3 linked regions of the Macaca mulatta genome follow. Each later gene encodes a partner of the first gene's protein in a complex. Links are inferred from orthologs where the notes say so. Each region holds a gene or a part of one and is shown in the gene's direction. Other genes may lie near its edges. The genes, in order: RHEB, MTOR and PDE6D.

Region 1 (9,686 bases):
TTTCAAAGAACTTCCATAGCCACCAGCCGTCAGAGGTGTAGGTCAGCAGAGACCCTTCTGGACAATCTACATGCTTAGCATGAGCTCCTCACTCAAGGGATGATGGGAATTAACAGAACTGATGATGTTCTCTTTCTGGAAACTTAACGGAAGACACATGGTTCTTAGTTCACAGGGAAAGGGAACAGAAGTGGAAGTACACACAGAGGAGGCAGCAGGCTTAGGCCTCGAGGAGCAGTCCCGAACAAGCAGGGCCTGCTGAGGAGAAGCTGACTGGTGGCAGCAGACCTTCCTGCTGCTGCAAAGTCAAAGGTGACCGAGTTAGCCACCAATAAGGGAGCTACTTTGAATACAAAAGCAAGTCCATTTCTTCCGACCCTGTTCCTGTCTGGTTGCAGTCAAGTATTTCCATGTGAATTCAGACTGAGTCCCTACTATTTTAGCTAATCTGAGCCATTTCTTTTTTTCTTTTCTTTTTTTTTTTTAAGACAAGGTCTCCCTTTGTCACCCAGACTGAAGTGCTGTGGCGCCATCTCAGCTCACTGCAGCCTCGACCTCCTGGGCTCAAGTGATCCCGCCACCTCAGCCCTCCAAGTAGCTGGGACTACAGGCACGCGCCACCACGTCCGGCTAATTTTTTTGTATTTTTTATAGAAACAGCTTTTCTCCATGTTCCCCAGGCTGGCTAAGTCATTGTTTAAACGAAACAAATTCTCCCCACTCTGGAATAAAAGAATCTTCTAAACCTCTGGATCCTACATTAAAGGGCTTGAAGATAGCAACTGGAACTTTTTTTTTTTTTTTTTTTTTTTTTTTTTAAGACAGAGTCTCGCTGTTTCACCCAGGCTGGAGTGCAGTGGCGCTATCTTGGTTCACTGCAACCTCCGCCTACCAGTTTCAAGCAATTCTGCTGCCTCAGCCTCCCGAGTAGCTGGGATTACAGGTGCCCACCTAATTTTTGTATTTTAGTAGAGACAGGGCTCTACTAAATTTTGCATGCCTGGCTAATTTTTGTATTTTTAGTAGAGACGGGGTTTCACCATGTTGGCCAGGCTGGTCTCAAACTCCTGACCTCGTGATCCACCTGCCTCGACCTCCCAAAGTGCTGGGATTACAGGCGTGAGCCACCGAGCCCGGCCTGGAAAACTTCTTGAATGAGTTTGTCCTTTACGACTGTGCTTCACATCTGGATTACCAATATTCTCAGGCTAGAGTGGTGCTTTCAAACTTTTTGAAGCAGCCCATGGTAAGAAACTTTACAATGAGGCCGGTGCAGTGGCTCACACCTGTAATCTCAGCACTTTGGGAGGCCGAGGTAGGCAGGTCATGAGGTCAAGAGGTCAAGACCATTCTGGCCAACATGGTGAAACCCCGTCTCTATTAAAAATACAAAAATTAGCTGGGCGTGGTGGTGTGCGCCTGTAGTCCCAGCTACTCGGGAGGCTGAGGCAGGAGAATTGCCTGAACACGGGAGGTGGAGGTTGCAGTAAGCCGAGATCACGCCACTGCACTCCAGACTGGCGACAGAGCGAGACTTCGTCTCAAAAAAAGAAAAAAAGGAAACTTTACAATGAATCCCAACATACAATAATACATATATAGCATATCTATAAATATATATACCGACGCATGCACTTACACACACTTACCCTTACTCGTTTTTTTAACTCACCACTGTATTAATGAGGACACATACTTACCCTTACTATTCATAATGCAGTTTTCTATTCTGTTCTATTTTTTTTTAAAAAAGGTGAAACTAAACTGATTTGATAATGCAAGGAGTTTAGTAGCATCTGTTCAAAAACACTGTGGTGAGGATATCCGAATCCACAGGATAAAAACGACACATTTTACAGGAGAGTACAATTTAAGACCTTTAGTTTTAAAACACTTAAAATAACTGTAGCGTAAACCTCAACATTTCATGAAAACATAGAACTTCCAGACATTGATCACTTCCGGCTGGCTGCCTGGGGTTTCCATCTGTAGATCCCCAAGGACAAGAATGCACACCCCAGCCCCTATCGGATGCTTCCGTGGGAAAGCTGGAGGGAGTCGCTCTTGGGCTGGGTGTTCCAATTCGACTCCAGTCACCTCTAAACCTTCCTACGCTGGAATACAAGGCCTGCTACTCAGTTTCCCTGGGCTTCATTCCTCCCTACCGATCACTGGGAAAGGGCGAAGGGCCATGCCCGGCCTCTGCAGGTCCCCACTGCCAAACAGCCTCGGCAGAATAGGGGCGGGTTCCCCGGCGCGGCGGAGCCTCTGCTAACTCGGCAAGTGCCAAGCCCACCAGCAGCCACCACTCCGGGCCTGCCTGGAGGCTCGTCCCTCAACGGCACCTGCGTTCCCGGCCCGGATTCTCTTCCCGCGCCCCTCTGCACTGCACCCCTGGGAAGGCTGTGCCCACACCGCGGCCCGAGGCGTTCCTGGCACCCGGCTCCGGCCTGCCCGCCGCACCAGCCGCCCTGGCGCTGGCGGAGAACCGGCTTCCCGCCCCGGCGTTGTTCCAGGATGTGCGCCGAGCTCCGCGCGAAGCGAAGCAGACACCAGAACTGACGAGGCTCGCCCTGTTTTTAATGAAATTCCTAACACTTTGAATTAACGCAGACTCCATGCTTCCCACAGTCCTTCGGCCGTGGGTGACGCTTAGTCACCACTACATCCTCAAACCCAGACACGAACGCTAACGCAGCTCAAGGGGAATTTTCAAAAAAGCCCCGAGGGAGGAGCTAGCCCAACCACCGCCCGCCCCGGCCACGAGCCTCGCGCCCTTCACGGGCTCAGCGGGCGCGAACCCGCCAACCGCTCAGCTTATCACCAATCACCGCACCTCCCACCTATTGCCCCGCCCTGCGCTCCGTTCCGGCCAATCACCGGGGAGCCACCGTTTGTCTCTCCGCCTCTCCCGCCCGCCCCCAACCGGTTGGAAGTTTGAAGCCTTCAAACCTCGCCGGCGCCCAACCGCGCTGTAGCAGCGCGGTGTATTTTTAGCTCCTGGGTGGCCAGCCCCGCCTCCTCCGCCCCGCCTCCTTGCCTCCCCCAATGGGAGATGGAGTTTCTGACACGTCATCGCGCGGCTGTGCAGGTGCCGTCCAATCGGCGCTCGGGGAGAATGGCGTAATTAAAAAGCGGCGGAAGAAGGTGGGAGGGTCATGACGCAGCGAGTTTCAGTCGTGACTTTTCTGGGGGCATCGCGGCGTCCCCTTTTTTTGCCTTTAAAGTAAAACGTCGCCCCGACGCACCCCCGCGTATTTCGAGGGGGCGGAGGCGGCGGGCCACGGCGCGAGGAGGGGCGGTGCTGACGCCGGCCGGTCACGTGGGTGTGTTGTGGGGGGAGGGGCGCCGCCGCGCGGTCGGTTCCGGGCGGTTGGGAGCGCGCGAGCGAGCGAGCGAGCGAGCTAGAGGCAGCCGCGCCCGCCGCCGCCCCTGCTCTGTATGCCGCTCTCCCCCGGCGCGGCCGCCGCCGATCGCAGCAGCAGGAGCCGCCGCCGCCGCGGTTGATGTGGTTGGGCCGGGGCTGAGGAGGCCGCCAAGATGCCGCAGTCCAAGTCCCGGAAGATCGCGATCCTGGGCTACCGGTCTGTGGGTGAGTGGCCGGTGGTCGCGCGGCCTCCTCGCGCCGCCGGGGCCTCGCCTGGAAGCCGGGTCGCTGCCGGGCCTGCGAAGTTTGGAGCCGGCGCGGCCATGTGGCGGGGCGGGCGGGGGCCGCGCGTTTCGTAACCACCATTTTGAGCGGAGGTGGTGGCGGTCGGGGCGGCGTCCGCACCGGTCGAGGAGCTGCGGTAGCCGGGCGCCCTCCGCGGGCCGGGCGGGCAGGTGGCGGCCGGGCGGAGGGCGTGGGAGGCGCGGGGCGGGGGCCGCCGGCCGCCGAGGAGTCCGGGGCTCGTCTGGGGAAATGAGGCGGCGCCAGGGAGCCGCGCTAGAGGCTCCCGCGAGGAAGGAGTCACACCTGCCTCCCCGCCTTCGCCGCGGGCGCGCGTGACCGGGGCTGGCGGTCTCCCCCACCCCGCCCCCGATGCAAGGAAAAGAAAGTCCGTGGGATTTTAACAAAGGAAGCAGCACCTCGGCTTCATTCCATCTGTGGTGAAGTTTACCCTTGTAAAGAAAACTAGGGACTTAGAGAACGTTTGGTCTCTGGACGCAAGTTTTGTACATAGGAAACCTAGGCGAGCCCCCAAAAGAGGCCCCTCTGGAGGCCCTGGAGATGCTGCTGGCGGCCCGGGTAGGAAGGCAGAGAAAAAGGAATGTCTGATCTCTCAGTGGCCTATATTTCTTCGGGAAGGAATAAGGTCAGGTACTTGCAACCACGCTGTTGAAGTAATTCCGAAGTCTTTTTGTTTTCTTTTTCTTCCCCCAAAAGGTTGACGTACATTTGAAACGGTTCCTAGCGTCGCCTTACTGCTGAATAAGGTGGCTTAGGGTCGGGTTGGGGGGCGGACGGGGTGTCACAGAACAAGCGGTTTTCTGGCCTGTGAGAAACCGGAGCGATCGAACTTAGACACGCTTCAGGGTGAGGCTGTATTGTCTGCCGACATCCGGAAGCCTGGAGAAATTACGTTCATCTTTTCGGGCTGTTTTGAAGTAACTGTCTATAGAAGACGTGCGCCGGGCCACATTTGGGGGGATGGGGAGGTGAAAGCGAGGGTTCAAAGGCTCCGGTGATTGCGGAACGGGGTGACAGCATGTGTCGTGGGAAGCTTGTACCTGCCAGCCGCTCGCGGGATGCACTCCCCAACTGCGCTTTCCACCGCCGGTGCCAGGGTCTGTGCTCTTTGACCAAGATCAGCCACTGCATGCTTACTCATCCTTTTACTACCTCTCCGTCGAGAGCTGGAGGAAGTCAAGGGCTGAGAGAAGCTTGGCTAGAGATGCGGGGTGCCCAGAGTCGTAGGGGGAACTCTTGTGCGATGCGGTGCTGCAGCCAGGAAGTAACCACGAATCAAATGGAGGGGTTCAAAGTCACTAACTGTTCAAATATCTACATGGAACCTGGGATCCAACCTTTATTGGCAGCCTGAATCCATGCTCTTGTCTCTGTTCTCTTGATTTCCTCCTCTGCATTTTGAGGAGTTGGGAGCGCGAGGTGTCCTGGCTCTTGGGTGAGCCCTCCCTAGTCAGTCAAGTAAGTACTTATTGCCAACTATTTGAAAATAGCCCCTGAATAATCACATTATGGTCAAGTACCTCGGCTACTTGATTTCAACCCAAGAGAATGACCTAAAGATCCTGACTGATTTACCCTTTTAAAATGTTGAAATGGTAGCTCTAGTCTTTGGTAAGCAGGGCTAGTTTTATCACTTTTTGGTGGGTTTTTTTTGGTTGTTTTTTTGTTTTTTTGTGTTTTTTTTGCTAAAGAAGTTCCTTGTGTCCAGTTGAAATCCATTCTGTTTTATCTTCCCCTCTATTCAGCTTCCTCCTGAGGACGGAGATGTGACAGGACACCCCTTAGCCGTCTCTTCACAAGCATTATTTTAAAGTGCTGCTTGTTAAATACTGTGCTAACTTAGTCTTCGGTGGGTTACAGGGTCACTTTTAGTCCCTATTTTGTGTCTTCAGTATTTCATATTTCTGCAACCTACCCCACTTCTCCATACTTATTTTCAAGCGTAGTCATATTAAACGATTTTGGAGAGGTTAAGTTGCTCCCAATCTTGTATTTGATTTTTTTTTTTTTTTTTGAGACAGAGTTTGGCTCTTGCCACCCAGGCTGGAGTGCAATGGCGCGATCTTGGCTCACTGCATCCTCCACGTCCAGGGCTCAAGCGATTCTCCTGCCTCAGCCTCCAGAGTAGCTGGCACTACAGGCATGCACCACTACACCCGGCTGATTTTGTATTTTTAGTAGAGACAGGTTTCACCACATGGCCAACCCTCAGGCTGGTCTCAAACACCTGACCTCAGGTGGTCCTCCCACCTTGGCCTCCCAAAGTGCTGGGATTATAGGCGTGAACCACCACACCCAGCCCCATTTGATTTTAAAGTGTATTATGAGCCGGGATATTTTGTAGTTTGTGGGGTCTTTTGCAGGGGAAGGAGATTAGGTTTTGCCAGCAGGTTTCGTCTAGTAAGCCACCCTTTTGAGGATTACTCAGCATGCTCACTTCTGGGAGCTTGCAAATGGTGCTATACCAGAGAAATCTGAGCACATGTGTTTCTAGATTGTGGTCTTTTGTGATGCTGAGCTGTTTTCTCCTATATTCTGGGGGTAGAGCCATAGAAAAAGGCTCCACATCTTTCTTAGAATGTTCTCTTAAGTACATTAAACCAGTTTGACTAGTAGGATACTTGTCATTGTGACTTTGTCATGCCACAAACTTTATTTTTAAAGTTGTCTTCAGCTAAAACAACAAAATGCTATGTTTGTTTTACTAGTTGGCTTTCTCTTTTTTTTTTTTTTTTTTTTTTTTGGAGACAGAGTCTCATTCTGTTACCCAGGCTGGAGCGCAGTGGTGCGATCTCGGCTCACTGCAACCTCTGCCACCTGGGTTCAACCAAGTCTCCTACCTCAGCCTCCCAAGTAGCTGGGATAACAGGCGCCTGCCACCCCGCCCAACTAAGTTTTGTATTTTTATTAGAGACTCGGTTTCACCATCTTGGCCAGGCTGGTCTTGAACTCCTGACCTCGTGATCCACCTGCCTCGGCCTCCCAAAGTGCTGGGATTACAGGTGTGAGCCACCATGCCCAGCCCTCTACTTGGCTTTCAGGTTTTTGTCAGAACTACCAATAGGGAAAATATAATTTTCAGGTAATCTATACAATTCTCCCTCCCAATCTCCTGTACTTTTCCTGTTCTTTACAATGTTAAAGCTTTTAAGGACATGTCACCTGTAACTCTGGGAGTCTGGCTTTCAGGGAGTGCTTTGTATTAACTGTTCCTGTGGTGGCCAAAAGTACCAGCTCCCTGACATTCCGTTGTCTCTACCACAGCAGAGTAGTCCCGCAATAGGAAGTAACTAAACTTAAGTTAAAATGGTAGTGTTACGTAAACTATCTTCAGTCTGGTACGTGTTTCACTGGGATTTTACCTGTACAGAGAGCTTTGGTAACCTAGTTTATCATTAGACCGTAATCAAAAGCTGGTTGTCATATATAAGCCTCTTACATACGGTTAATAAGAGGGGTGGGATCACAGGCATGTGAAAGATCATAGGGGGAAAATGAAACAGCTTTGTGGTTTGGAAGAAGGCAATTCAGCAAAAGTACTCAAATTATTACTTTGTCAAAATGTTTTGGGTAGTATTTAGAGTCTCCATGAGGAAAGATGTCATTAAATATTTGGTTGTTCCTAGCAGATTCTGACGTACTGTTTATTTTTTAAGTTAACCTATCATTTGATGACACTTTTTATTGAAAAATTGAAAGGCAAAACAATATTTGCTATGTATGAAATCTACCAGTATGTGAAATTGTATATTCAGGTGCTTAATATTCTGATGTTGTATACTTGTGGGTGGGGGTAGTCCTGAAGTGGCCACTTTGTATTGAAACTTGAAATTACTGTTTTTCAGTCTTACTCATTGTTCTGCACAAGAGCATAATCCGAATTCAGATTTCTGATTATGACTTTCTAGTGCCAAATGTTATTTTGCTGTCCCTATGGGTTATATCTCTCTGTACTTCATCACCCCAAAAAGAAACTGTACTCATTAGCAGTCACTCTCCATCTTGCTTCCCTATCAGCCCCTGGCAACCACTAATCTTTTTGTTTCTATGAATTTACTTACTCTGGACATTTCATATAAATGAGAACATACATATGTGGTCTTTTGGGTCTGGCATCTTTTACTTAGTATAATGTTTTCAGGTTTTGTCCGTGTTGTAGCATGTGTTGCCGCTTCCTGTTTAGTGCTGACTAATATTCCATCATGTGAGCATACCACATTTTTTCTATGCATTTGTCAATTGGATATGTGGGTGGTTTCTCTCTCTTTTTTTTTTTTTTTGGCTATTATATTTTATTTATTTACTTTTCTGAGGCAGGGTCTTGCTCTGTTGCCCAGGCTAAAGTGCAGTGGAGCTATCATGGCTCACTGCAGCCTCAACCTCCTGGACTCAAATGATCCTCCCACCTCAGCCTCCCGAGTAGCTAGGACTGCAGGTGTGTGACATCACACCCAGCTAGTTTTTTAATTTTTTTGTAGAGGTGGGAACCTTGCTCTGTTGCCCAAGCTGGTCTTGAACTCTTGACCTCAAGCAGTCCTCTCGCCTCAGTCTCCCAGTGTTGGGATTACAGGTGTGAGCCACCACTTGGAGCTCTACTTTCTGGCTACTAGGAATAATAATGCTTTGAACATTCCTGTACAAGCTTTTATGTAGACATATCTTTTCATTTCTCTTGGGTACATTCCTAGGAGTGGAATTGCTGGGTCGTTATGGTTAACTCCGTGCTAAATGTTTTGGAGAACTGTCAAATTGTTTTCCAAAACAGCTGTACGATTTTATATTCCCATAAGCAGTGTATGAGGGTTTAATTTTCTCCACATTCTCATCAACACTTGTTACTGTCTTTTTCATTTTAGCCATCCTAGTGGGTGTGAAGTAGTATCATAGGTTTTGCAAATAATTTCTTCTGTCTGTGGGTTGTCCTTTTACCTTCTCAATGGTGTCCTTTGAAGCAAAAAGTTTTTAATTTGAAGGCCGATATATCTATTTTTCTCCTGTCACTTATGTTTTTGGTGTCACATCTTAGAAGCCATTGCCTAATCCAAGGTCATGTAGATTTACTACTACATTTTCTTTTAGATGTTTTATTCTGTTAACTCTTAACATTAGATCTGTGATCTATTTGTAGTTAATATTTGTATATGATGCCAGAACTTTATTCTTTTGCATGTGGATATCAAATTGCACCAGCTTCTTTTGTTAAAATAATGTTCTTTCTTCATTGAATTCCCTTGTCCAAAATGAAGTGACCATAAATACAAGGACTCACTCATTCCATTGATCTGTATGTCTGTCCTTACGCCAGTACCACACGATCTTGATTACTGTAGTTTTGTAGCTGGTTTTTAAATAGGGGCATATGAGTCCTCTAACTTTATTATTTCTGAAGATGTTTTTGGCTATTCTCAGTTCCTTGCATTTTCACATTGAATTTTAGAACTAGATTGCCAGTTTCTGCCACAAAAGCAACTGCAATTTTGATAGGGTGTTTCACAGTTTTGCAGGTATCTTTTAATGTCTTAACAGCTGGATTCTCATATCTGCTCCTGAATTCATTCCCTTAACGTTATTTTAATGAAGTAAGGAGTACTTGAATAGCTTTTTCAGGTAGCTGAATATTCTTTGATACCAAAACTTCATAAGTGATAGTTTGGAAGAATAGTTACACTGTGCAATCTGAAATCATATTGATGAATTTGCCCAACTCCACAGGTCTGTTTTATACTTGGAATGGATCTTCTACCATACCTGGTTTTGTAGCATCATTGGTCATTTGGAAAATATTTGTTCATCGTTACACAGATCTTCCACATGTTGACACATTTTAATATACAAGCATGTTTAAAAATCACATTTGTTAATATCACCACCAATCTCTGCAGAGTCTTAAGTTTTAGAACACTGTTCACTATAAGCAGTGCAAGTTTTCCAACATTCTAATTTCCTCCTTGAGTTCAAATAATTTTCTTGGCAGCATGCTACTAGTTTTTACTTGAATTGACTGTTCTGTTTCTTT
Region 2 (9,481 bases), on another chromosome or scaffold:
GCCCTATGCCCCTCAGTTGAATTCTTTCTTCCGAGGAGGCAAGAACTGAGCTTGCTGCAGACCATGGAGATTCAGCACTGGTAATACTCCCATCTCCTCACTTGGCTGCCCTGTGATCATTAAACTCTCTCTCTGCTGCAGACTCTGCTGTCTCGTTGTATTGGTCTGTTGCTGTGCAGCAGGCATATAAACCTGTTGGAACTATAAGAGAAAGATCTACAAGATACACTAAAATTTTAAAAATGCAAAATAGTGCATATAGTATAACAAAAGGGGAAAATAAGAATATATGTATGGGCTGGGCATGGTGGCTCGTGCCTGTAATCCTAGCATTTTGGGAGGCTGAGGCGAGCGGATCAACTGAGTTCAGGAGTTTGAGACCAGCTTGGCTAATGTGGTGAAGCCTCATCTCTACTAAAAATTTAAAAATTAGCTACGCATGACGGCACAGGCATGTAATCCCAGCTACTGGGGAAGCTGAGGCACGAGAATCACTTTAACCTGGGAGGCAGAGGTTGCAGTGACCCAAGATCATGCCACTGCACTCCAGCCTGGGCCACAGAATGAAATTCTGTCTCAAAAAAAAAAAAAAAGGGAATATACATACGTATATATTTGCTTGTTTTTGCAGACAGAAAATCTAGGGATGCTTAAGAAACTGAGAAAATACATAGTCAAGGGGCAAGGGTGGAGCAAGACTTTTCATGATAAATATAACTTGTTTATTTTGAGATTTGAATAGTGACTATATTGCATATTAGAAATTTTTAATGATAAAAACATAGATGTTGGGCCTGGTGCGATGGCTCACACCTGTAATCCCAGCACTTTGGGAGGCTGAGGCAGGCGGATCACCTGAGGTCAGGAGTTCAAGACCAGCCTGGCCAACATGGCGAAACCCCGTCTCTACTAAAAATACAAAAATTAGCCGGGTGTGGTGGCGGGCACCTGTAATCCCAGCTACTCAGGAGGCTGAGGCACGAGAATCACTTGAACCCAGGAGGCGGAGGTTGTAGTGAGCCGAGATTGTGCCACTGCACTCCAGCCTGGGTGAGAGAACGAGACTCCATCTAAAAAAAATAAAAAATAAAAAGTTGTTGATCAGTGAAAATGTAAAGTTTAGAGGAACAGTTATCTCACAGAAGCAATGAAAAGAGGCTAAATCTAAAGTAGCCATTATTACTTGGGAGGCTGAGGCAAGAGAATCGCTTAAACCCGGGAGGTGGAGGTTGCAGTGAGGTGAGATCGCTCCCCTGCACTCCAGCCTAGGTGACAGAGTAAGACTGTCTCAAAAAAAAAAAAAAAAAGTAGCAATTATAATTTTTTTTTTTTTTTTTGAGACAGGGTCTCACTCTGTCAACTCAGGATGGAATGCAGTGGCGAGATCACAGCTCACTGCAGCCTTGACCTCCTGGACTCAAGTGATCCTCCCACCTCAGCCTCCTAAGTAGCTGGGACCACAGGTGCATGCCACCACACCAGCTAATTTTTTGCATTTTTTGTAAGGGTGAGGTTTCACCATGTTGCCCAGGTTGGTCTCAAACTCATGGGCTCACACAATCCACCTGCCTCAGCCTCCCAAAGTGTTGGGTCACTGTGCCTGGCCAATATCATAGGTATTAACAACAACAAAAAAACCCTGCCAAACAAAGCATTTTGTTAGCCACAGAATATTATCAACCATCTTTATTTATTTATTTATTTATTTGAGATTGGGGTCTCACTATGTTGCCCAGGCTGGTCTCAAATGCCTTGGCTCAAGCAATCTTCCTGCTTTGGCCTCCCAAAATGCTGGGATTACAGGTGTGAGCCACTGCACCCAGCCCAACCGTCTTTAATTTGGCAGTTTAGGCCTTCTGAAAACTCATTCCTTCTACCTTCACTTCTTTTTATTACATAAGTAATTGATGATAATGTATAAAGAAAAAGTGTCTTTCCCATTGTGCACATCTCCCCATGTAAACATAGACATATGAGAAAAGCATAAATATTTTTGTAAATGGTTATATTATACTTACATTGTTGTGTAATTTGTAATTTTTGAACTAGTTGTGAACCTTTTCCTTCTTAGCAAATATTCATCTCATTACCACTATTTCTTGTTATTATTATTATTATTGTTATTATTATTTGAGACAGGATCTTTCTCTGCTGCCCAGGCTGCAGTGCAGTGATCACAGATGACCACAACCTTGAAATCATGGACTCAAGTGATTCTCCTGCCTCAGCCTTCCAAGTAGCTGGGACTACAGGCACGTGCTACCATGCACAGCTAATGTTTAAATTTCTTTTGTAGAGATGAGGGTCTCACTATGTTGCTCAGGCTGGTCTGAAACTCCTGGCCTCAAGCAATCCTGCCTTGGCCTCCCAAAGTGCTGGGATTACATGCATGAGCCACCATGATAGGCTCTAAATTGTCATTATTAATGGCTACGTATTTTTCTTATTATGAATGCATTTTTTTTTTTTTTTTTGAGACTGAGTCTTGCACTGTCACCCGGGCTGTAGTGCAGTGGCGTGATCTCAGCTCACTGCAACCTCCACCTGCTGGCTTCAAGCAATTCTCCTGCCTCAGCCTCCCAAGTATCTGTAATTACTGGCGCCTACCACCATGCCCCGCTACTTTTTTTTGCATTTTTAGTAGAGACGGGGTTTCACGAGGTTGGTCAAGCTAGTCTCAAACTCCTGACATCATGATCCGCCGGCCTCGGCCTCTCAAAGTGCTGGGATTACAGGTGTGAGCCACCGCACCTGGCTGAATGCATCATATTTTACTGGACTCCTACTTTGAAGTATTTAGGAATTTTCAGTGTTTACTATGACAAATAGCACTGTGATTAAAAAAAAAAAGAAGAAATGTAGTCAAATCCACTTTTGCTATTGATTTCTTTTTTTTTTTTTTCCAATTTGTAGAGACATTGTCTCACTATTTGCCCAGGCTGGTCTGGAACTCCTGGCCTCAAGCGATCCTTGTGCCTCAGCCTCCCAAAGTGCTGGGATTACAGGTGTGGGCCACTGTGACCAGCAGCTATTTATTTTCTTTGGTATGTATGTATGTATGTATGTATGCATGCATGTATGTATTCATTGAGACGGAGATTTCTCAGTCGCCCAGGCTGGAGTGCAGTGGCACGATCTCAGCTCACTACAACCTTTGCCTCCCGGGTTCAGGCGATTCTCGTGCCTCAGCCTCCCGAGTACCTGGGATTACAGGCGTGCGCCACAATGCCCACCTAATTTTTGTATTTTTAGTAGAGACGCGGGAGAGTTTCACCATGTTGGCCAGGCTGGTCTCGACTCCTCCTGACCTTAAGTGATCCGCCCGCCTCGGCCTCCCAAAGTGCTGGGATTACGGGCGTGAGCCACCGCGCCGGGCCAGCTATTGATTTTTGAAACGATTAAAAAAATATAATGTTTCTTTGAAAATTTTTATTTATGAGTAGCTCTTTTGGTTAAAACTTGGCTATGGTTTCTCTGGAATGATCCTGAATTGGATAATTTTGGGAAAGTGAGAAAATCTAATTAAAAACATTTTCAAATGCTTATTAAATGTAACAAAAGAGAAATCATAGGATCCATAAAGAGCGCTAGCCCGAAACGTCTTCTGATGCAGTAATTCCTGGGCGCCAGCATTGCTCACACTCTCCTCTCAGAATTAACACCGGGAGGGGTCGCGAACCTCTGCTAGCCGCTCTTGGTGCGATCCGGAGGTACCCAGACAGCGGACTCCCTGAGTTCACAGCCCGGATGCAGAGGGGAATCCTAGCAGCGCCGCACCGGATGTATGAGTGGAAGTGACTGAGGTCAACTCACGACCGATTGGTTCTCCCGAGTGGACCCAAGCCTGTTTTCAGCTGTCACTGGCCGCGTGGTTTGTCTATTTGAATAGTCCCCGCCCCCTGGAGAAGCCGGGTCCTGAAGCTCCACTTCTTCTTCATTACTATTGGCCTGTTTTTCAGTCCATCTTCTTCCTGTACGTGTCGATTGGTCCTCAGGGCTAGGAACCCTCCTTCCCTCGCTCCCGGTTTAGAGGACAGCGGGGAAGGCGGGCGGTGGGGCAGGGGGCCTGAGGCGGCGGTAGCGGTGCTGGCGGCGGCAGCTGAGGCGTTGGCCGAAGCCGCACGGTGAGTCTAGGGCCTGGAACGACCCCTCTGAGGCGGCGTAATGTCCAGACCTACGGCCAACCTGCCCGTGGGGGGGCAGGGGAAGCCGCCCGTCTGGGACGTGGGGTCCCCACACTGCCGGCCCCACGACCTGGGCACCGTCTGAGCCCTTGAGTCCCACCCCTCGAGGCAACGCCCACCTCCCCGGGACCCCCAAGAGACCCCTGCACCCTTCGGCCCGCGGTACGTCCGCCCGAAGGCCGGTCCATCAGCTCTGGTACTGCCCTTTGGGTCTTTTGCCCGTTACAGCCACCCTTTTTTCTGAGCCACGTACAAAAATTTTGTATCTCTGCCCCAGGGAACACCAGCGTCCGTGTCAGCCCCTTATCCTCCACCGTGGACACTTCTCAGAGACCCAGTCACCGAAACTGAGCTCGGTTACATCGTTGGGGTACATCCTCTCGCCTTCTCCCCCAGCCCCATCCCTGTTTCTCCCATCCAATTTTAACTTACTTAAGCCCTATCAAGACCCTTAGGATGTTTGACTTCAGATATCCTAAGTTTAATTGAATTCAGCCTGGAGCAGATGGCCTGTGGGCCTCAGACCATATGAAGTTACACTGGTTCCTTCCTGAGCCTTTCCTTGCTAGCCTCCTTCCCCCCTTTCATACACACACACATACACACAAACTGGAGTAGTTTTCTTAGTAGGGATTCTTAAGTTTCTTCTCCCCTAAAGGATGACATTTCTTTCTGCAGTCTTCTTCTTGGCACTGGAGTATTTGAAAGCTTTTCAAAACCAATTATTCCCTGTTTTTCCTCTGTGCCTTACAAATTGGTTCAAAAATAAGAATTTTGAGAAATTGGTTTTGTAGCATAAGCTGAACATACTTAGGATAGGTATATGTTCCACCCATAGCAGTGTGGGCATAATTGAGGAATGAAGGAATGATCTCAGAAACTAATTGGTTTCTTTTAGCTTACATTTGAAGTGCTAGTCCCCTGTAGAACTGCATTGTTCAGTACAAGAACCACCAGCCACATGTGGCTGTAGAACACTTGAAATGTGACTAGTTCAGGTGGCTCACACCTGTAATCCCAGCACTTTGGGAGGCCAAGGCGGGTGGATCACCTGAGGTCAGGAATTTGAGACCAGCCTAGCCAACATGATGAAACCCCATCTCTACTAAAAATACAAAAAAAATTAGCCAGGTGTGGTGCTGCACATATGTAGTCCCAGCTACTTGGGAAGCTGAAGCAGGAGAATCATTTGAACCCAGGAGGTGGAGGTTGCAGTGAGCCAAGATCACGCCACTGCACTCCAGCCTGGGTGACGGAGAGCAAGACTCTGTCTCAAAAAATAAATAAAAGTGACTAGTCCAAATTGACATTGTCGTAAGTGTAAAATGCACATTAGATTTTGAAGACTCGCTACAAAAAAAGAATGGACACTATATCAATTTTTAAAATATTGATAACATGTTGAAATGATATTTTGGATATATTAGTTTAAGTAATTAATTTCACCTGTTTCTTTTCACCTTTTAAAATATGGCTACCAGCAGCTTTAAAATTACATTTGTGGATCACTGTATTTCCTCTTTTTTTTTTTTTTTTTTCAATTGGGATGGAGTTTTGCTCTTGTCGCCCAGGCTGCAGTGCAATGGCGCAATCTTGGCTCACTGCAACCTCCGCCTCCTGGGTTCAAGTGATTCTCCTGCCTCAACCTCCCAAGTAGCTGGGATTACAGGCACGCACTGCCATGCCTGGCTAATTTTGTATTTTTGGTAGAGATGGAGTTTCACCATATTCCCCAGGCTGGTCTCAAACTCCTGACCTCAGGTGATCTGCCTGCCTTGGCCTCCCGAAGTGCTGGGATTACAGGCGTGAGGCACTGTGCCTGGCCTATATTTCTATTAGACAATGCTGCTGTGGAATAATAATCTCTCTTTTTAGACTGAACTTGAGCAAAGGGGCAGTCTTAGTCATTTTTGATTCTTTCCCTACCTCCCCACATTTGTTACCTGGCACTGTGCCGTGTACATAGTAGTAGTAGTAATAATAATAGCTAACAATTATTAAGAACTCAGTATATGCCCTGCACTGTTTTAAATACTTTTTGACATGTATTAACTCATTTAGTCCTCACATCAACCCATGAACTAGGTACTATTATCTTCCTATTGTAGTTGAAGAAACATTTTTAGTGTCTTTCTCAAGGTATATAACCTTGTTTTTGTTTTCGTTTGTTTTTGTTTTGAGACAGTGGAGTGGCAGGATCTTGGCTCAGGGCAACCTCCACCTCCCAGGTTCAAGTGATTCTCCTGCCTCAGCCTCCCGGGTGGCACATGCCACTACGCCCAGCTAAGTTTTGTATTTTTAGTAGAGATGGGATTTCACCATGTTGGCCAGGCTGGTTTCGAACTCCTGACCTCAGGTGGTCCTCCTGACTCGGCCTCCAAAACTGCTCAAGGTATCTAACCCAAGGATTCAAACCCAAGTAGGCTAGCTCCCATAGCCCGCAATTTGACCCTCCCTACCACACTGCCTCTTTTAAACATCAGTCATTGTTTAATGAATCTAGGCTTTCTAAATGTTCCTCAATAAGATCTCTCAACCTTTTTAGAATCCCCTGCCTGACAAGGGCTTGGGGGAGATCTGTGTTGGATGACCAGGGCCATAAGTAAATTTATCACCATACTTTCTTGTTCAGAATATTAAAGGAAACTTCTCTAAAGAACCTCAGGGCAAGATGCTTGGAACCGGACCTGCCGCCGCCACCACCGCTGCCACCACATCTAGCAATGTGAGTGTTCTACAGCAGTTTGCCAGTGGCCTGAAGAGCCGGAATGAAGAGACCAGGGCCAAAGCTGCCAAGGAGCTCCAGCACTATGTCACCATGGAACTCCGAGAGGTGCTTCTGCGATTTGGGGCCAGTCATTGTGGGATGTTTGGGCTAAATGTATCATCACTGGTTTAGACTTTTTTTGGACAGCTAAGCGAGGATTTGGAAAACAGAGATTATTTTAGAAAGGCACTCAACCTCTCACATCCATAAAACATGCAGGTTCTTTTGCAGCAGTTGCACATTTCTGTGGCATTTTTCTTGTTTGTGGTCACATTTTAGGGGCCAGAATAGACTTAGCTGTTTCTTTTAGCTTTTTCTTTTTTCCTTACCACATACCACACCCTCAAATGCTTTCTGTCTGATAACAGTGATTGGGATGGGTTTGGAGAGTTGAGAACTAGGGACTTTCTAAATAGAGACCAGACTTGAGGTCAGAGACAGTATCTTGTTTATCCTTGTATCCCTGGTACTAGAAAGAACCTAGGACAGAACATTTTCTGCCACAGAGTAGATACCCAATAAATATTTGTTAAATAATCAGAGGATTGCAAGTTCAGGTGCTCTACAGTGTAATCCTGTAGAAGTGGGCAGTAGCTTGTCTTCTTTGGTTTGAACTATACTGTCTGCCTCTCAGGATCTAATCTTTAGATGCCAGCCCACTCCCACCACCACAGTCAGAGAATTACTAGAAATTGTTCTGATTATATCTTCTTTTGCAGATGAGTCAAGAGGAGTCTACTCGCTTCTATGACCAGCTGAACCATCACATTTTTGAATTGGTTTCCAGCTCAGATGCCAATGAGAGGAAAGGTGGCATCTTGGCCATAGGTAAGGACAGAGTCTCTGGCCACAAAAACAACACACTCACCTTTGTGCCCATTGCACCCTGTGTCTGCCACTTACTGGATGCTAGTTCATATTTGCTTAATGAAATTTAAGAAGCCTGTGGCATTTAATTCTAGCAGCAGTCCTGGGCTACAGGAAAAACGTATTTTTAGATGTGGAGGTGGAGTCTCAGAACCATTGAGTGACTTTTCAGACAGTTTACCAGAGCTGAGACTGGAAGCCAGCTTTCTTTCCCCTCCTTCATGTTGCGTTTTGTGGGCTCTGGTTCCTCAGTAGAGCAGGGTTTTGCATAGTGGGGCTCACGAATGGAAAAGTGGAATCGGTATAGTTAATAAAAAGCAGGTCTCTTTTTTTTTGAGATGGAATCTTACTCTGTTGCCCAGGCTGGAGTGCAGTGGTGCAATCTTGGCTCGTGGCAACCTCCGCCTCCTGGGTTCAAACGATTCTCGTGCCTCAGCCTCCCGAGTAGCTGGGATTACAGGCACCTGCCACCATGCCCGGCTAGTGTTTGTACTTTTAGTAGAGACAGGGTTTCACCATGTTAGGCAGGCTGGTCTCGAACTCCTGACCTCGAGTGATCTGCCCACCTCAGCCTCCCAGAGTGCTGGGATTACAGGTGTGAGCCACCACACCTGGCCAGGCAGGTCATTTTTAACTTCTAAGGACTGGTCATCAGTCCTGTGAATTATTATCCAGTCTCACTTGCTTTCCCTTTTTGGGGGACTAGGGGGGAAAATTATACTAGCATAAGATTATTTTGCTGTATGTAAATATTTCTGGCATAAGTATTAAATATCTGGGTTAAAATAAAAATTGTGTCCTTGCCCTCTAGAAGTGTACTCAAAGTAGAATGGAGGGATCACTTGCCAGCTTTTTTTTCTTTTTTTTTTTCCTGAGACAGAGTCTTGCTCTGTCACCCAGGCTGGAGTGCAATGGCGCAATGTCGGCTCACTGCAACCTCCGCCTCCCGGGTTCAAGCAATTCTCTTGCCTCAGCTTCCCAAGTAGCTGGGACTACAGGCGCATGCCGCCACACCCGACTAATTTTTTGTTGTTGTTGTTGTATTTTAGTGGAGAAGGGGTTTCACCATATTGCCCAGGCTGGTCTCGAACTCCTGAGCTCAGGCAATCCGCCCACCTTGGCCTCCCAAAGTGCTAGGATTACAGGCTTGAGCCACTGCGCCTGGCCAGCACTTGCCAGCTTTTAGTTGAAGTCTGTGTACTTTCCTGGTCAGCCTATGCCCCATCATCACCTTTTGCCTTCCTCTCTTTTCCAGCCAGCCTCATAGGAGTGGAAGGTGGGAATGCCACCCGAATTGGCAGATTTGCCAACTATCTTCGGAACCTCCTCCCCTCCAATGACCCAGTTGTCATGGAAATGGCATCCAAGGCCATCGGCCGCCTTGCCATGGCAGGAGACACTTTCACCGCTGAGTATGTGGAATTTGAGGTGAAGCGAGCCCTGGAATGGCTGGGTGCTGACCGCAATGAGGGCCGGAGACACGCAGCTGTGAGTGCCTGCAGGGAGGAGCACAGCCAGGCTTGGGGAGCGATGGTGTCATGGTGGGGTCTTTTGCTTCCTTCTGAGGCTCATCCCTGAAAAAGGCTGGTTAGAAGGGCTAGGATTCCAGGCTGTGAGATGGGGTAGAGTCCGTCCTTAAGAGAGAATCTAGCAGTGGTGTGGT
Region 3 (9,564 bases), on another chromosome or scaffold:
TGCTTTGGAACCCAGGCTATTTGAGGCCGAAGACCATGTTCTTTACCTCTATTCAGAAAATGTTTTAAAATAAGCAAGAGATGGGTTAAGCCAACAAGGTTCTATGACCAAAATGTCATTGATAGCGTTGCATCTGGTGCTTACCAACTCCCCGGGGAAGATGGCTAAGAAATGCCACATCATTGAACACTTAAACTGATTCCTGTATACATTCCAGTCTTTCAGGTCTTGAAAATGAGAGAGAAAAACAGCCCTATTTGCCTGTCGTGCATTAGAATGCAGAAATTAGGACAAAAGCAAAGGAGCCTAGCACCAACTAATTCATTCATTTATTCAAAAACATTTCTTTAGCACCTATTATGTCCTGGAAAGTTATATGAAGATAAAACGAAGTTCTTCCCCTCAAAAGCTCCAATGTGTTAAATGCTATGAGGAAGATATGACAACACTTTGGAAGCACAGAAGACAAGAGGTTGGGGAGGAAAAAACAGGCAAAAAGGGGAGTAGTGCCCATTGTCACAGAGGTTTGCACTGTGCAGCATATACTGATGTCAAAAAGAAACCCAGAGTGGTTTGACCCCAGGGTTTTCAAGAGTGAGAAATGAGGGGTACAGAGCTGGAGTCAGATCATCAAGGGTCTTGGAATCCACATGCCAGGTACTGGGGAACTACTTAGGCTTTTTAAGCTAAGAAGAGGTATGAATAATTAATTGCCTTTTTAGAGTGATCATGCTAGGTGCTTTAGGAATGGATTGGATGTGGAGAGAATTGGAGGCAGGGAAAACCTCCAGTGAGGGGACCGATTTATTCTAGATAAGACATTGTGAGATCTCGAACAAACGTAGTGGCAATTGCTGGGCGCGGTGGCTCACGCCTGTAATCCCAGCACTTTGGGAGGCCAAAGCGGGCAGATCACCTGAGGTCAGGAGTTCGAGACCAGTCTGGCCAACATGGCGAAACTCCGTCTCTACTAAAAATACAAAAATTAGCCGGGCATGGTGATGCACTACTAATCTCAGCTACTCTGGAGGCTGAGGCATGAGAATTGCTTGAACCCAGGAGGCAGAGGTTGCAGTGAGCCAAAATTGTGCCACTGCACTCCAGCCTGGGTGACAGATTGAGACTCCATCTCAAAAAGACAAACAAAAACAAAGGGAGTAGCAATTGGGGTTGAAAAAGAAGGGACACTGTTGGAGACATTTAGACTGTAGAATTTATAAGACTTGGTGACCAGCTGAATATAAGGAGAGGGAGGGAGCATAACACCCAGGATTCTGTCCTGGGAGACCAGAGCTGTCTGGAACTGGTGTTAAGTGAACAGGGCTATGGACGAGGAGGGACAAATATGGGATTGAGAGGAAGACAACAGAGTTTAGTTTGACTTCATAGAAATTCCAGCAATGCCTCTACTTCCTCCAGAATAATGTCCAGACTCCATGGCTGCAATTTGGACTTAGTATTTTGGGTTTTTTCCCTTAAGAGACGCAGTCTTACTCTGTCACCCAGGCTGGAGTGCAGTGGCACTATCATAGCTCACCTCAGCCTTGAACTTCTGGGCTCAAGGGATCCTACCACCTCCACCTTCCAAGTAGCTAGGACTACAGGTGCAGGCCACCACACCTGGCAAATTTATTCTTTTTTTTTTTTTTTAGAGATGGGGTCTCTCTATGTTGCTGAAGCTGCTCTTCCCTGATCTCAAGTGATCCTCCCACCTTGGCTCCCAGAATGCTGGGATTACAGGTGTGAGCCACCACACCCAGCCCATGGCTGCAGTGAAAGCCCTTCCAAGTGTGCCTCCCTCCTAAGTCCTCTAGCTTTGTCGCACCCCACCCCCTTCACAGTCCAAACTCCCATGCCCGGCACAACTTATACCATCCCTCTCAGACACCAGGCCTATGCTCAAGCTTGCTCTTTTTTGGAATGCTCTTTTATTAGCCTGTAAAAAACCTACCAACTCTAAAAGCAAGGATTTCTGAAATCCAATGCAAAAAACACTAACCATAATAGAAAACATGGAACTATTGCACTATGTTAAAATTAAGAATTTCTGCTTGGCAGATGCAGTGGAGTACACCTAAAGTCTTACTATAGCTACTTGGGAGGCGGAGACAGGAGGATCACTTGATCCCAGGAGTTCGAGGTTGTAGTGGGCAATGCTGGTGCCTGTGAATAGCCACTGCATTCCAGCCTGGGCAACATAGCAGAGACCCCATCCCTCAAAAATATAATTTGTTTCAAAAGTCACCAGTAAGAGAGTGAAAAGACAAGCCACGCCTTGGAAAAGATATCTGCAAAGCATGTATCAAGGAACTCTATATCCAGACGGTAAAGAACTACAAATCAATAAGAAGACAGCCCAATTTTTTAAAGTTGGGAAAAGAATAGGCACTTCAGGAAAGACAACGTTCAACTAGCCAACAAGCATATTGAAAGGCGCTCAACATAAGGAAAAATGTAAATAAATACCTTAATGAGATACCACATTCAGCCAGAATGGCTACAATTAAGAAGAATGACAACAAAAATCCTGTGTTGACAAGGATAAGAGGCACCTAGAACTCTTTCATATTGCTGGCAAAGGCGTAAATTGGTACAATCATTTTGAAAAATTGGCAATGTCTACTATCACTGATCATGTGCATAACCTCCCTACACACCGGCAATTCCTCTCCTAGAAATGGGTGCAAGTGTCTACAAAAAGAAACATGTAAGAATGCTCGCTACAGCTTTGCTAGTAATAGTCCAAAAAATAGCAACGCAAATGCCCACCAACAGTGGAAAGGTAAATTGTGGTATATATATACAACAGAATACTATTCAGCAGTTAAAAGGCTACACACAACATGGATGAATTTCACAAAAATATTGATAAAGTAAAAAAGCCAGACACATACTGTACATACTGTATTATTACATTTAACTGGAATTCAAGAACAGACAAAACTGATCTATGGTGATACAGTCAGAAGAGTGATTATCTCAATATGTAAGGAGGTAATACTGATTGGGAAGGAGCACTAGGCGTGCTAGAAATGTTCCATATCTTGATTTGGGTAGTGGGGACAAGGGTGTATACCTATGCAAAAATTGTTCCCATACTGTATGTCACATCTCATTTAAAAAAAAAAAAAAACTTTTTTAACATGGAAAAAAACTTCAAGTCCAAATGCCACCTTCTCCATTAAAGTTTTGCCAGCTGCAATTAACCTTTTCATCAGGGCCTCCTTAGCATTCTGATGTCGTTTCTTTTATGCCATTTTATCACACTCCATCTTGAATCTCAGTGGAGTCTCCTTATTTCCCTAAATAGATGTTTATCTTCCTGGTGGCAGTGACCATGTCCTTCACCTTTTACCCACTCAGTGCCTGACAAATAACAGGCTGAAAAGATATTTATTGAATTACATGGAAGAAAAAATTGGGTGAGTTCCCAGATGGGTGAAAGAGGGGACAGGCAGAGGAAGGAAGGCCAAGAGAAGGACAGAGGAGGTTTCCAAGGAAACCGTGGCTCACACTGCAATTTTACCTACTTCCTGAAATCACATTAAATGTCACCTTGAGTGGCAAAAAACAAAACACCAAGTCCTACCTAGGCTGAAAATAAATATCACACTCCCTCACTTGAAAGAAATCCACCAAATAAATGCTACCTAATTCTGGGTGTTTCAACACTGGATAGGAAAACTGTTCAAGGAGAATAATTCACATTGCTATGCTGCTAAAAATATCACCTCCTTAGTGTGGTGCAAAGAGTCCAGACTGCAAGTCAGCCGACTTAGGGCTGAATTCTAACTCTGCCCGAACTTGCTGTGATCTGTGGCCAATCCCTTCGCCTCTCTGGGCCTCAATTTCCTCATACGTAACAACGGGGTAGATTAGCAAAGTCCCTTTATGTTTTGATATTCTGAGTATACAATCCATAGCTCTCCCGGTCCAAAGCAGGAATACAGCAAAAACCCCTGAAAAACACGTAAAAGGCGCCTCAGACCAACAAGCACGATTTGAAGAAGTCATTTTGTTATCTTTCACGGTTTAATCAGTGTTTTTGTTTGTTGTTAGCAGCCTTACCATGATTTGCAGAAGATGTCTGAGTTCCATGTAAACAGAAGTTAACTCTCTGCGGGCTGTCATCTTCTTTTGACGGTGAGAAGGGTCTTCCCGCTGGGTTTCAAGTCTCGGGATTCCGAAACCACCAACTCAGCGGGCGGGTTTGTGAATTTGCGCACACTGCGCGGCACACTGGAGTCTAAGTTACAGAGGAACCGAGTGCAGAGGATGCTGGGATTTGTAGTCTCCGGACCTCTTTGTGGTGCGCTGGGATCTGTAGTCCCCCGAGTGCGCCGCTGGAATGCTGGGAAATGTAGTCTCTGTCGCGTAGCACAGTGCAACCAGCTGCCGTCTCGAATGGCTAGTGTGCTCAGCTGCGGGAGCAGGTCCCTAAAGCCTCTGCAGATCCGAAGCCAACACTCCGCTGGGACAAACTCTAGGCAATAACACCAGATGAATATTGTGTCCTATGGGACTTCCCGGGGAGGGCCCTTCCCATTGACGTTAACAGTCCCCCTGCGAAGGCGCAGCGCGCTCCTACTGGCTGGTTGGGATGCCAATCACCAAAGCTGGCTTTCCATTGGTTCCAGGGGGGCACTGCGAGGCTAGGGGGAAGGAGAAGGGATCAGGAGCGGGAGCTGAGGGGAGAGAGAGGCCGGTCCTGGTCTGGCCGCTGCGGCTGCTCGCCCGAGGTCTCCAAGCCGGGCTGCGGCTCCATCCTCGGCTCCTGGGCACCGTCTGCGAGGCTCCGCCGACCAGAGTGAGAAAGCCGCGGGCGGCTAGCGCCGCATCATGTCAGCCAAGGACGAGCGGGCCAGGGAGATCCTGAGGGGCTTCAAACTGTATCCGCCCGGGAGCGGGGCGGGGCCGGGAGGACTTGGGAGGCGGCCGCTCACTGAGGAGACTGGCCGGGGGCGGGGGCCGCGCCAGGTGGGCCCCGCGGAAGAAGGGCTGCGGGAGGGGAGAGGAAAGGAAAAGCGTGCCGTGCACCCGGCGGGACCAGGCGCGAGAAGCGCCCCCAGGGGCGTCCTGAGGGAGGAAGGGGACGTTGACGGGAGCCACAGGGGGTGGCGGGTGGGGACGGAAGAGCTTGGGGTACTGGGCTGCGAGAGGTGCCGGGCGTCGCAAACGCTATCGGAGAGACCGGCTGGGTTCCAATCCCCGGCCGGGACCCAGAGGCCGGGAGGGGGCTGCGGCCCGCAGGGAAGGGCTGAGGGGGCGCGGTGGGCTGATCTTAAAGTCTAGAAGCCTCTTTGGCTATAAGCCTACCCGAGGAGCGGGGAACAGTGACTTGGAGCGGGCGACCTTGTGTGGGACAAATACCAGTGCTTTTAAAACTCTCTCAGGGCCCCCACCGCACCGCACCCCACCCCCGTCTGGTTTCCACAACTTCTCTTCCAAACTTGTGGCTTCTTCCAGGGCTAGAGTAGTTGGGGGAGGTGGGGAAAGAGAAGTCCAAGATCAACCTCGTCTTAACACTCTTGGTCTTCTGAGGCATTGGTCACTGCTTCCCCCTCAGCGCCTCAGTTTCCTTTCCAGCAACACGAGGACCATAGGCTTAGGTGTGGGGTGCCTCGCGCTGGGGCTCCTAGCCGAGGTGTCTTTGCTCGCTCCTGTTGGTGCGGTTAATGCCTAGCTGTGGTGGAGCTGTCCAGCAATAGTGTGATGTCGCTGGGGCCACGGTAGGATAGTGGGGTAGAGAAATCATTGCCTCGGGCCTGTTGTGATGCCGCTCTTGCAGCCTCTCCTTAATGTGGTAAGGAAGCTTTGTGTTTTCGTGGAGTGTGTTAGTCTGTCACCATATGATGCAGATGAAAAAATGCAAACTTGTATATTCAAATTTTCCATTCTCCTGCCGGCTTTAATCTCTGCATACATCCTGTCTGTAATCTATAGTACGGAACGTTCTTAAACTGCTCCCTCAGTGAAAAGGTAGTCACCGCTTTAGGACTCCTCCCTTGGAGGTTTAGTAAAGCACTGTTTTCTTGATATTCTGTTGTGTTTTCACAATGTCCATGTCACCCTTGCAAAATTTAATTGCTTTGCTATAATCAGAAACCAAGTTGGTAATACATTTTAGACCACAGTGCAAAAAGGAAGTTTTGGATGTACAAGTGAGATTTTTCAAGTGAAAATTGATCTAGGCTTTTAAAAAAACCTAAAGGCTGTATCACCTTTGCATACTACCATTCAGGATAAAGTTTCAGTACTTTCATGTAGTGATTTAGTAGCAGCCTCTTTAGAGCTCCATGTGCCTTTCTGTGTTTCTCTCCATAATGGATCATATAGGTATATAGGGATGACTGAAGTGCTGGAAAAGCTATGACATGAATTTTATTTTTCCCTCAAGTAATTTGTATTATTACTTAACATATAACAATGTAATAATATTGTTACTTAACATGCTGTGTAAGCAGTAAACCAGAAACTATGGAGAACTGAGAGATTTCAGAAGCAACGTTTTCATCTGATTGGAAATACCATATTGCTGAAAAGAAGAAATACCTTTTTAATGGCTTTTGAACAAAGCAGAAAAGTTTGAGCTTCTCACCTTCAGTCTTGGCTCTTGAACCTGTTAAGAAAGAGGATAAGAGACAAATACGGAAAAGAGTTTCAGAAAGCAGAATCTGTGTCAGCCCACTAGAAGGAAAAGCGAATCAACCAATTCAGTGATGTTAGTGCATCCAGAAACAGGCTTTCGGGGAAAGCTTGACCTGAGCTGATTAAATCCTGAAGCACCAGGGAAGCAGCCACATCAAAAAGTTAGCATGAGAGCAGTGGCGTGCTCATCCTCTGGTAGCCTTTATTGGGCATTTGTGGAGTAAGAGGGAAAAGAAAAGCAGGAATGTTAAGATATGCTACTACCTTCAGGAAAAAGTAAAATTAATGTTTTAGTAAGAAACTGACTATTGTCTACCTTTTATTGGGTAAATAGATTTTCCGAACTTTCTTTCAGAGTATCTGTTTCTGTAAGAATAGTTTATCACTACAAAAAGAGCACCATTATGTTCTCCCACCAACAGTGTTGATAGTACTCAGTTTTCCACATTGACTAGGTCGGTCTTTTTTGTTTGCCAGTTTAGATAACAAATGATATATTGTTTTAATTGGTATTCTCCTGGGATCCCTACATCCATGAAAAGGTAATGTAGCATAGTGGTTAAGAGCTATACTGGACTATGTCGCTATACTGCCTGCATTGGAATTCCAGCCCTGCACTCCTAGTTGTGTGTCCCTGAGCAACTGCTTTAACCTTGCCTCAATTTTCTTATCTGTAAAATGCAGAAAATAATAGTATACTACCTATCGCATGGGGCTTTGAGAGTAAATGAGTTGATATCTAAAGCATTTAGAAAAGCACCTGATCTACAGTAAGCATTATGCTTTAGCTAGTGTTATTCTTGTTGTTATTAGATAAGTTGCACATCTCTATTTGGCCATTTCTTTTTCTTCTGTAAATTGTTAATTTTGTTTTTGCCCATTTTACTATTAAATTGTTTATTTTTCTTATTTGTAGATGTTCTTTACATATTGTAATATCAATCCTTTGCCTATTATATATTTTGCAAATATTTTCTTTCAATGTATTGTCTCCTTTTTTGTTGAACAGAATTCTAAAATTGTCATTTCAAATTTATTTTATTTGTTTGAGATGAAGTCTCGGTCTGTTGCCCACATTGGAGTGCAGTGGCACAATCTTGGCTCACTGCAACCTCCGCTTCCCAGGTTCAAGCAATTCTCCTGCCTCAGCCTCCTGAGTAGCTGGGATTACAGGCACATGCCACCATGCCCGGCTAATTTTTGTATTTTTAGTAGAGACGGGTTTCACCATGTTGGCAAAGCTGTCCTCAAACTCGTGACCTCGTGATCCGCCTGACCTCTGCTTCCCAAAGTGCTGGGACTATAGGCGTGAGCCACCGTGCCTGGCCTCAAGTTTATTAATATTTGCCGTCTGGCTTTTGCATTTTGTATCTTGTTTAAAAAGATCTTTCTTATCCCAAGATTAACTAAATATCCTATCTTTTCTTCTCTTTTTAATGTTTAGCTCTTTAATCCACCTGGAACGTATTTATACATTTGGTATAGGGTAGATATCTAAGTACTTCTGCTGTTTGAATAGCCAGTAGTTCCAGTACTAAGTACTAAGTCCGTCTTTTCCTCACTGTTTTGAAATGCCATCCTTGTCATATACTAAATTTTCATAAGACGTAGGTTTATTTTTTGATTATTTCTCTTTCATTGATCTATTTGTCTCTTCTTGTGCCTATACACATTTGGTTGAATTATTATAGCTTTATGATGTGATTTAGTACAGTTTACAATAGGATTGGTCTGTGACTAACATAATATGTGTGTTTAAGGTCCCTATAAATATTTATGCCCCTTTTATTCACATAGAAGCTTGCCATATGCCCATAGTAGATAGAAACATGAGGACTTGGCTGGGCATGGTGCTCACACCTGTAATCCCAGCACTTTGGGAGGCCTAGGTGGGAGGATGGCTCAAGGCTAGGAGTTCAAGACCAACCTGGCCAACATAGTGAGACCCCCAACTCTAAAAAAAAAAAAATTTAAAGATACTCCGTAAGAGTGATGCATAAATCAGGCATGGTCTGAGTGAATTCAGTATAAGCCTTTGTATTTGCCATCAGTTGTTTCAAAAACAAAATCTTACAAGATTTTATTCTCATATCACCTTCACCCCATCTCACCCTACCTCTTTCAGAGTATCTGTTTTTGTGAGAAGAGTTTATCACTACAAAAAGAGCACCATTATGATCTCCCACCAACAGTGTTGATAGTACTCAGTTTTCCACGTTGACTAGGTCAATCTTTTTTATTTTTGCCAGTTTGGACAACACATGATACCTTGTTTGAATTTGTATTTTCCTGGATCCCTAGATCCATAAAAGGTAATATAGCATAGTGGTTTAAGAGCTATACTGGACTGTGGCGCTATACTACCTCTCAAGAAATGCAAGGCTCTCATACACATTAAGAACCTTACATTTCTTTCTTGTTTGTTAAAAGCATAACATTTCCTAATTGTAAATTAATGTTATGAATGAAATGTTACTTGGGGAACAATATGATTCTCCTGCAAATATTTTGGATTTGATTTTAAGCAGCTGACATAGAGATTGATGTTTGTAAATCCCACGTTTCCCGTTTCTTTTCTTCAACAAAGGTCTGTTGGGTGACTGTTATGTATAGGGCACTCTACACTTAAAGGATACAAAAATGAATGACTTACAGTCCCTTCTTTCCAGAAGCTTAACCAGCTTTATGTCTGTGTAAAAGGAATATCTTCAAAAGCAATGCATTTTTTAAAATTCTATTTAATTTTCCTATTACAAACTCCAGCTACCTAGAGTCACTTTTGTAAGTATTATTTAATATAGCCTTCTAATGTAGCTAATTTTTAATGTGTTTTTTATAAAAACGGAATAGTAAATATCACTTTGTAACTTACTTTGTTCACTTAATAATAGATTTACCATGTTTATGATTTCCAAA

Evidence for each region.
Region 2: the proteins of RHEB (region 1) and MTOR are in contact, whole or in part, in a cryo-EM structure (PDB 6BCU), measured with the Homo sapiens proteins. The link is inferred for Macaca mulatta from reciprocal best matches to the Homo sapiens genes RHEB and MTOR. Residues at the interface, in NP_005605.1 of Homo sapiens: Lys5, Ser6, Arg7, Lys8, Arg15, Pro37, Ile39, Glu40, Thr42, Gln57, Ala62, Asp65, Tyr67, Ile69, Gln72, Thr73, Ser75, Ile76, Asp77, Asn79, Asp105, Met106, Val107, Gly108, Lys109, Val110, Ile112; in NP_001373429.1 of Homo sapiens: Arg62, His69, Glu73, Ala101, Thr102, Ile104, Gly105, Arg106, Asn109, Tyr110, Arg112, Asn113, Phe140, Glu143, Tyr144, Phe147, Glu154, Arg160, Thr969, Gln973, Phe977, Lys980, Glu1010, Phe1011, Gln1014, Met1018, Ser1050, Thr1051, Asn1264, Lys1293.
Region 3: the proteins of RHEB (region 1) and PDE6D are in contact, whole or in part, in a crystal structure (PDB 3T5G), measured with the Homo sapiens proteins. The link is inferred for Macaca mulatta from reciprocal best matches to the Homo sapiens genes RHEB and PDE6D. Residues at the interface, in NP_005605.1 of Homo sapiens: Pro2, Gln3, Ser4, Gln57, Asp77, Gln176, Gly177, Lys178, Ser179, Ser180, Cys181; in NP_002592.1 of Homo sapiens: Ile53, Leu54, Cys56, Val59, Val80, Gln85, Cys86, Leu87, Glu88, Glu89, Trp90, Ile109, Glu110, Ala111, Ala112, Pro113, Gln116, Met117, Met118, Leu123, Tyr149.

Annotation. Positions count from the first base shown.
Region 1 is NC_133408.1:190,938,976-190,948,661, reverse strand, and holds the start of RHEB (GTP-binding protein Rheb), read left to right. Parts: upstream 1-3,489; 5' UTR 3,490-3,540; coding exon 3,541-3,592; intron 3,593-9,686. UniProt on the Homo sapiens protein: Small GTPase that acts as an allosteric activator of the canonical mTORC1 complex, an evolutionarily conserved central nutrient sensor that stimulates anabolic reactions and macromolecule biosynthesis to promote cellular biomass generation and growth.
Region 2 is NC_133406.1:229,467,020-229,476,500, forward strand, and holds the start of MTOR (serine/threonine-protein kinase mTOR), read left to right. Parts: upstream 1-4,017; 5' UTR 4,018-4,124; intron 4,125-4,461; 5' UTR 4,462-4,554; intron 4,555-6,816; 5' UTR 6,817-6,855; coding exon 6,856-7,017; intron 7,018-7,670; coding exon 7,671-7,779; intron 7,780-9,073; coding exon 9,074-9,306; intron 9,307-9,481. UniProt on the Homo sapiens protein: Serine/threonine protein kinase which is a central regulator of cellular metabolism, growth and survival in response to hormones, growth factors, nutrients, energy and stress signals.
Region 3 is NC_133417.1:137,043,722-137,053,285, reverse strand, and holds the start of PDE6D (retinal rod rhodopsin-sensitive cGMP 3',5'-cyclic phosphodiesterase subunit delta), read left to right. Parts: upstream 1-4,644; 5' UTR 4,645-4,839; coding exon 4,840-4,889; intron 4,890-9,564. UniProt on the Homo sapiens protein: Promotes the release of prenylated target proteins from cellular membranes. Modulates the activity of prenylated or palmitoylated Ras family members by regulating their subcellular location.